Regions from separate parts of the Mus musculus genome. Here region 1 is reported to be linked to region 2. Evidence: microRNA targets listed by miRTarBase, many of them from high-throughput screens and not tested one by one. Region 2 holds a microRNA gene; the other region holds the end of a gene's coding sequence.

Region 1 (4,383 bases), not on the chromosome of region 2:
CTCCAGGGACATTTTAAAGAAGCACCCACAACAATAAAGGTCTCTGTGTTTTCTGAAGCTCCTGAGGGCTTTAAACTAGCTGAGAACCATTGTTTTTGTTTTTGTAGTTCATGCCGGCAGCTGCTGCTATGCATGGGGCTTACATCTCCCAGTACCCAGCTGTGCCTTCTTCCAGTGTTTCTGCTGAGGTAGGAGCTTTTTCGGTTCGTTTTGTTTTGTTTTGCAGTGAGGCCAGGACACATCAAGGGCAGATCTCTGAACTGTGTACTCCTCTCTCGGTACTGCCTACCGCCGGCATCCTCACTGGTGGTTGTGAGGAGAGCAGGAGGCGGCTTCATTGGTGTTTAGCCAGCCTGCTCTGTTCAATTTAGACAGGGATGCTGACTTCAGCTGCCTCAATACTCTGAAAATGAGCAAATGCTGAAGTATTTTCCAAGGTAGCTGGACCACTTTGCCCGCTTTCTGGCAGTCTGGATGTTGGATGCACACATGCGTTGGGGGCGGTGTGTGTGTGTGTGGCTGAATTGGGGAGGCTTTAGTGGGAGGTGCGTGTAGGAATGCTTCAGTAACTTTCCTTGGCTGTGATACAGGAGAGCAATGGCCAGCAGAATCAACTGGCAGTGGAGCCCCCCTCAGACCACGGGGTCTATCCTTTCCAGTTCAGCAAATAATGAGGTAAGAACTTTATGGTGGGGAATGCTGCTATGCTATGCTGAACTGGAAGATGGTGCTTGCAGCTTTGTTCTGCCAATAGCCAGACAGGTTAATTAATAGTCGTGTCCTCTTCGTATCGTCTCCAGCTAATGCCTCCTTTAGGATTCTTTCCCCCCATCTTTGTTAAACAGAAAGGAACTCTTGGAGATGCTCACAGACTCCAGAAGGTTTAGCAAGTTACAAGCCTAGCTGTAGCCTGCTGAGCACTAACACCTGGCTGTCATTCCCTCACAGGTCCAGACCTGGGGAGAGAAGCCTATGCAGTCCTCCTTGGGCTCCTTCCTGTGGCTGATGGAACCTGAGGAATCACGTTGGTTTTTTTTTTTGAATGTGCTACATTCAAGATCAAAAAGACTTTTTTTTCTTTTGCAAAAGAAGTTTCTTGCTTTGTATTTAATTGCAGCGAACCTTTCTCCTACCCCAAAGACACCAGTTGAGGTGCTTCTCATCTTCGAGAGGTTTGGGTATGTTGGGCTTTTAAAATGGTTTAAGAACAATCGCAGTGCTGTGAAGTCAGTGAAGGGGCGCTGCTTGCCAGGTTCAGTTAGGGACTATTTTCAATGTGTGTTTTAGATATGCAGGCTTAAAACTTTTGTTTTGCAAAGCTCTCAACACACACTTTGCACACACCCACCCACCTCCCTCCCACGCACTGTTTAAGGCAGGGTCTCACAGTGCAGTCCTGGCTGGCTGACAATGTAGACCAGGCTGGCTTTGAACTCAGCGATCCTTCCCACTCTGTCTGAGTGCACCGCCATGCCTAGCTAGTTGTTTTTTTTTTTTTGGTTTTTTTTTTTTCAAGACAGGGTTTCTCTGTGTAGCCCTGGCTGTCCTGGCGCTCACTTTGTAGACCAAGCTAGCCTCGAACTTAGAAATCCACCTGCCTCTGCCTCCCAAGTGCTGGGATTAAAGGCGTGCGCCACCACCGCCCGGCTAGTTGTTTTTTAAAACTTCTCCACAATGGTCTTTTTTTCTTTTCCATTTAGCTTAGCCTGCCTACTTTGCCTTTTTACAATTTTTAATTTTATGAATTTGATTTAAATTTCATGTGGAATTGGGGGAAGGGAGAGCAACGCACAGGTAGAGAAGTGTGGCAGTAGAGGTTGCTTTCCCTCTGCCCTCCTGGCCTAGGAGGGGTTAGACTTTGACTTCAGGAAGCAGACATGTGACAACCATGCAGCCTTTGGAAACCACCTTCAACCAACTCTGGTGGCAAGTGCCACTGAGAAGTGGCATCCAGCTTCAGCATCCTGGATACCTGCTCTGCCTCCTGGAGGGTCTTGGGTCTTCATCCTGCCCCAGGTCTCACAGCCCCTGCCCCTGCTGAGCAAGTTCTGCCTTCCACTTTACCAGGAGGTTGTTTTGTCCCCGAGAGGCTGCTGTCTTGTCCATCATCATCCTTGATTACCAAGCCTGGGGAGTATCATGTGTGCTGGTCCTGAACACCTGACAGAACCTGGCCCCACTCCTCCACCCCTTATTCCCTGGCAGTTATTTGGTGTAGACTAAACCCCAGTCCAGCCTTGGACATGGAGCCTGTTAGTTCATGTACTTGGCCAGCAGTGACATCTGTGACTTTGCCTCCTGGAGGATCTTTTCTGCCTGGGTTCTCACAGCCTCTCATCCCAGCTGCACATGGCTGTACTCAAGTGGTACTTGGCTGAATCACTTAATTCAGCAGGAGCCATCTTATTTAGCAGGGCTCACCCTTGGTTGTATGTACATGCCAAGTGCACACAGTTTGAAGGGATGAAAGCAAGAACTGTTGTGTATACTGTGCATGCTTGAGAATGGACTGAGCTTTCTCTATGCAGCATACCCAGCCCAGCCCTGGTGTTTGGACCCCTTCCCCAGGGAACCAGACCACCAGAAATAATTTTCCTTCTTGTGGAAGGACGACGGGGTGCTAGGATAGAAAAAGGCAAGACTCACAGCTCCCTGGCCACTCAAAGGTCAGGAGGGACTTGTAAACATGCCTGCCGTTAACTATTCCCTTCTGCAAGACTTTCAGCACAAAATGTGACTTGTTACATCACATCCCTTCACGTCATAAGTACACCTCCAGTAGACAAAGCAATGGAGATGGGGAAGTGTGTCCAGAGGTCAGTGTGAAAGAGGAAGGGCAGGGCATGGTGATGGTGAGAAACTGGCTCAGCAGCTGTGCACACTACAGAATTGGGAATCCTGGCCTGACTGTGCTGCTGTGCGTTCTAGACTGAGGAAGGGGCTGAGGACAATGGACAGCATAAAGTACAAAATGACCAGTTTTCTCATTGGTGCTTCCAACATCAGGAAGGTCATACCCAGTTATCGACCTCTAGCCCTCTAGCACTCAGTGACAGACTCAGAGCTCTGTCCTGTGGAAACCCTGCTGACAGTCTTGCTGCCACTGCTGCTCCTTCACTGCCTATTAAAAATTGTTCCTTTTTCTGTAGTTCTAAAGCAATTTGAATAACTGACAGTTTTAAAATTTGAAATTACCTTTTTAGGTTTTTCTTTTGAGTATACTGGTTAGGGTTCTAGTGTTTCTGGTTGAACAGGTGTGAGCATGGGAAATGAGGGCAACCTGTAATTTTGTTTTTATAGTGGTTAATGGCACTCACTGTGTAATTTCTGCTTAGTGATTTCCATCCACTCTTTTCCTCATTAGCTCATTACTCAGAAAGGTAGCGACTGAAGACAGGAAGTAGTATGCAAGCCATGAGGGATGAGTTGTAAGCCTCCTCTCCATCATCCTGCCCAAGGCTCCTAACAGTCTCCTGAGTCCTGTTTGCATGGAGGCCAGATAGATGGCTCTGCACTCTATATCTCACCTGTACTCATTTTAGTACATTGTGGTTTTGCTTCCAATCAATCAGAGTGGACTAGAGCTCACACCTGACCTCGTGTGACTCTTCACTAGGCTCCAGGCCTATCCCATCTCATTGGGTCAGACTGTAGATGGACTGGACTTTTGGAGACAGGTCCTGCTATTACTTAGGAATATGTGGGAACAATGATAGGGACCAAGCTTGTGAAGCAAAACGGCTTTGGAAAGGGCAAGTGCTCAATAATAAAAAATGGGGTGGAAGTGAAGCGTTATTTGCTGAGGGTTTCGGAAGGACTAGTTTGTTTTTGTCCCTGGCCCTTCCGGTCAAGTGGGCACCTCCCATTTTGTCGCCAAGAGCAATACAGTTGAGTAGGTGGTAGACCCAAACTCACCCAGCCATTTCTAGACCTGAATTCAGAGGATAAGGTGAGTCTAGAGGTATATACAACCAATGCTTGTTAGACCAATTCTTACCAATTCGGAGCAAGCCGGTGGCTCTACTTCTGGGTAACCTGCCTCTTAAAAGTGCCTTTGATCCCAGTAGTAGATTCAGGGTCTACAGGAGCCTTCCCTCAGCAGCTAAAACCAATTTGTCTCCTCTACTCTTTGCTGCACCTCCCGGAGGTGGTCTCCATGTGGCAGTGATGCCCTCATCACCCTTGTGACCACCGCTCTGAATGTTCAAAATAAGCATTTCCTGTCCAAGCAAATCCCTAAACTCCCTCGTCCTCATTACTCAACTACCTCAGTCTGACAACTCAAGGCACACAAGCACCTACTTGCCTCCCACCATCCTTTACTGCCCTTGTCTTTGTGGGGTTGGAACAAATGCAAACTCCTCAGTTCCACAACCCAAAACT
Region 2 (4,383 bases):
TTCCAAACACACACCGCCACAGTCAGCTTTCAGGGGGCTCTCATGGGATCTGACCCCGGTCCTCCTGCTTGTCGGGCAAGCGCTGGACTGACAGCCGTCTCTCCACCTCCTGTTTCTTTTTTGTCGTTGTTGTTGTTACTTTTTAAAATATTTACTTATGTGCATAGATGTTCTGCCCACATATATGTACACGCATGTGTGTGCCTGGTACCCTCTGATGTCAGAAGTGGGTGTCAGGTCCCCTGAAACTGGAGTTATTGGAGAACGGGATGGTTTGGTCACATGGGTACTGGTGTTGAGACTGGATCCTCTGGAAGAGGGACAAGTGCTCTAAACTGAGACCCCCATCTTTCCAGCCCCCTGGTTTTCAAAGAGGAACTTGGTACGTGGCCCAGGCTGGCACTTCTCCTGTCTCTGTAGCCTCTGGAGTCCCGGGATTAGAGCTGCCCTCTTTTCCAGCTCTTTTTTAAAAGAGAGGTAGGGTGTGGCACACACATGCTGGGTGGAGATGGCTCGGTGGGTTAGAGCACTTGTTGCTCTTACAGAGGACCTGGGTTTGGTTCTCAGCACCCACATGGTAGCTCTCAATCATTTGTAATTGTAGCTCCAGAGGGCCCAAAGTCCTCTTCTGAACTCTGGGTACATATGTAATGCTCATTCAGGCATGCATATAAAACATGCACACTGGCCTGAGCGAATGCTGCACCCACGGAGGGTCCTTGTATGGATGGTGGGCTCAGCTCTTTGCTGTCCCTACCAAAGCCAAGGAAGGCTGACACTTTGGGGCCAGTGCAGCATCAGCAGTCTCCCAAATGGCACACCCTGAGGGTTCCTCCACCCACATCTCCATCACCACTCATGGTTTGCACTGATCCAGGGCTGGCGGAGCAGGCAGCCTCTGTCCCATGCTAACAGGCAAGGCTTGCTGGGTGACTCTGGAGATTGAGAAGAAAACTGGACCATCTCCCAACAGCCTTGGTAGCTAAATTCAAGACTGCCTGGTGTCCATGACAGGGCACAGCCTGTGTGTGTGTGTGTGTGTGTAGGTTAGCTGGTAAGCTGACCTGGAATTATAAAGCCCAGGCTAGCTAGCGTCCCCTTAGGGGCAATCTTGCCTCAGGCTCCCTGAGTTCTGGATGTTGAGAAGAGTCCTGGCCAGGCATTCTGAGCCACACTGGTAAGGGGAGTCTGGCCTGCTTGTGCCTGTTGCTGGTGAGGAGGCTTAACTCTACCATCTGTAAGCAGGGGCATCCTGGTGAGTGGGTGTTTTCTGCCAGCTCAAAGACTCCAGGCGGCACTTTCTCCCTTGCCCTCACCAGGCTGTGTGTAAACCCAGGACCAACCTTGAACCAGGGCAACTGCGTGGGCCTGCTTCTCTTGTTTGTTCCCCAGGTTTAATCAGGAAGCCCTGGTTGAACCTTACTGTTTTTGAAGCCTCAGGCGCTGAGGAGGCACACAAAGGTGGGTGCTGCAGCAAACCGCAGCTTCAAGCACCCCACCACTGCCCCTCCCTTGGGTCCCATGGGGGTAAAAGAGGCCTTCTGTGTAGGAGGAAGGGCAAGGGCCCACTGTCCTTCCCCAATGAAGTTCACAGGGCAGAGAGATGTTCTCCTTCTCCACACAGCTAGAAGGAGCTGCTGGCCCTGGCCAGGGCATCACCTGTGCTGGGGCAGTATGACTGGGGATATTCTCTTAATAGGGATTTGTGCTGTCCTGGGGAGGCAGTCAATGCCCAGCGTTTTTGAGCATCCACTGGGCTCAAAAACATCTTGTTCAAACGTTCTTGGAATTGTGGAGGAGGTTGGTGAATATGTCCTGAGGATTGAAAGTCCAAGGCTAGCTTGAGCTTAGCAAGTCTGTCTCAAACATAAACAAAAACCCCTCAAAGGTTAGTTGTAGACCTTGGCAGTAGAGGCCCTGGTAGCCAGTGCCAGACACACAGCTCTGTAGGACCTTCTTTCTTGGAATGACTGAGTCAGGTGTAAGGATGAACACAGGTGAGGGTAGAAGGACCCTCTGTTGTCCCCACCCCATCATGTGACCAGAGCAGCTGTACTGGGGGCGCAGCTGAGTGGCAGGGAATCCAGTCATTTGACCCGCTTCACACAGGACAGAGTCCCAAGGGCACAGCAGATGGTCGATGGAGCCCAGCACCTGGCCTGTCTATCACATACCCAGGTGGTGCCTCCAAGGCTGGGGCATGGTCTCTGGTCCCTACCACCCCTATACCTGTTCCCCAGACATTGGGAATGGCCTACAAGTGACAGCGATGTTTGTGGGGGGAGACCACGAAGCCTGCTGAGGCTGACGAGCTGGGTGCCAAGGCCAGTGGACTCTGTTCTCATTCCCCAGCCCAGAATCAGCCCTCCTCCATTCAGTTGGAGCCAGCCCGAGTCCAGGGTCCCACAGAGGTGTTCGACCTTGAGAGCCCATTCCGGTTCACAGACCTCAGCAGACTGCTGCCCGGCTATGCACTCACTCGGTAGCAAGATTTCCAGAAGACAAAGCAAAAGCACAACAACATAATGAAGAGAGGGGAGAGAGTTTGTTTTAAAGGAAGCTTTTTATTTGGAGGTAATTACTGAAACACAGTGGATGTAGAAGTGACCCAGGGACACCAACTGCCAGGACATAGGTCACACGCAGTAGAATCAACTGGTGCTACAGAGGACACACACAGAGGGAGAGACCTGGAAGGCTCCCTCCTGGCTCCTCTCCCCTCCCCCTCAGTGTCTGCGTAGGTTAAGATGATTAGGACCCCAGAGGGGTCAGTGCCTTGCGTCACCGCACAGAGAAACCAGAGTCCCCTCCATCCACGGAACAACCTGCAGATCTGCACAATCGAGTTCAAGAAGGTACAGCATGAACAGCCAGCGACTGAGCACCCTGGTCTGCAGGCAAGGGTCTGTGGACAGTGCAGGGGTGGACACCGGCTCTGTCGCCGAGGCGCTCACAGGCAGGCATACGTGAGCTCCTGGAGGACAGGGATAGTGGCCACCCCGTCCAGCTCTGCACAGCTGTGCTCTCACCACCTTGGTGCCAAGGCAAGGGTCACACCCACCTAGGGATCCCCTTCTAGATATGACTTTTCAAATGCACAAAATGTCACTTAAGCCCCATGCTTGAAAAAGACAAAGATGACAGATGCGGCACCCTGCCTCCTCAGTGACCTGAATGGCGGAAGTGAGCAGCAGATCTGATGTATCCCTGAGAAACAGGAGACTGGGCCATCACCAGCTGCCACAGGACACACGAATCCCCAGAGGTGATGTTGTCACCGCCACCAAGCCCAGGCTCTGTCCAGGCCACAGGTCCTTCTGCAGTCACGGCAGAAACACCCTGTGTCACTTACTTGGGGGTTAAACACAGGCTAAAGCCTAAGTCTTGACCTCAGGCTGCCCAGAGAATTAACTTTCTCACAGACTCCAGCACAGACCACAAGGCCTCTAGGCTGTGAGTCCCCGACTATACATCGGTTTTCTTGGCTCTCTGGCCTCAGCTCACCTGACTCAGGCTGACTGGCCCCACCAACAAGGTTATGAAGGTCCCATGGGTTTTCTAGGTCTAACCTCTCCCACTGCTATCTCACATGTCCCCAGTTCCAACACAGGAGCAGACAGACCCCAGGAGCTTGAACAGGGTGCAGATTTCCTTGACTAGGCTGAGGGGCTGGCTCCAGAAGATAAAACTTCCGTCCCTTTGCCTGCAGATCACAGGAACTGGTCCCAGCAGCTCTGGCACAAGTTTAAGTGGGAAGCCCAACTCGGCCATCAGTGAAGCTCCTGGTCCAAGAGCAAGGACAGAGTCAGCCCCTGCCACCTGAATCACGGGCGTGAGGGCGACACACACAACAAGCTCCCACCTAGGTCTACTCAGAAATGGCAGAAAGCAGCCAACAGGCAGGGAAGAGGGCCCTGCAGCGGGGGAGATGGGGAGGTCTCTAATCAGACCCCTGCAGTAGGAGACCCTGAAGTGAAGGAGAGGGAGGGGCTTGCATCTATAACTGAGCATTCCCAGGCCAGGAAAAGCCTGCTGACACAAGAACCTGTGTACTGTGCAGAGCCTGCGCTGCGTCCCTGAGCCGAGCGAGACTCAGTCTCATTTCAGCTGCAGTCTGCCTCCTTCGCCCTAGCTGGAGGCCTTCTTTCTAGCCAGGGCCAGGTACCCACATCCCCTTCTCTAGAGCTTCCCGGCATGCCCACCACCCAGGGATGCTTGTTCTAGCCTGGTTTCCACGTGCCCCACTCCCAATTCTATTTGAGTGTGCCGGTAATCAAAATGCTTTTGATTTTGGCTTCCTCTGGTAGAGCAGCTGTGTTCACACATCCCAAACTGCCTAGTGGACCCCCAAGTGACATTAAGGTCATGGAAGCTTTCTTGCTG

Evidence for each region. The annotated mature microRNA mmu-miR-339-3p reads UGAGCGCCUCGGCGACAGAGCCG and lies in region 2 at 2,931-2,953, opposite strand. An mRNA with a match to its seed (bases 2 to 7 or 8) in the 3' UTR can be bound and repressed. Matches are read on the target gene's strand: a 7mer-m8 pairs with bases 2 to 8, a 7mer-A1 pairs with bases 2 to 7 and ends in A, and an 8mer does both.
Region 1: miRTarBase lists Rbms2 as a target of mmu-miR-339-3p. Seed matches in the 3' UTR shown: 8mer at 1,549-1,556.

The regions. Positions count from the first base shown.
Region 1 is chr10:128,129,933-128,134,315 of GRCm38, reverse strand. It overlaps Rbms2 (RNA binding motif, single stranded interacting protein 2), which reads left to right. Exons shown (of 13, transcript NM_019711.2): 11 at 108-188; 12 at 591-675; 13 at 949-4,383. The coding sequence ends at 671. Among named protein-coding and RNA genes, the nearest start is that of Gm51821, 6.6 kb to the right of the region's middle.
Region 2 is chr5:139,366,743-139,371,125 of GRCm38, forward strand. Mir339 (microRNA 339) reads right to left here and starts at 3,003; the gene lies at 2,908-3,003. The region is part of intron 2 of 3110082I17Rik (RIKEN cDNA 3110082I17 gene); the gene reads right to left.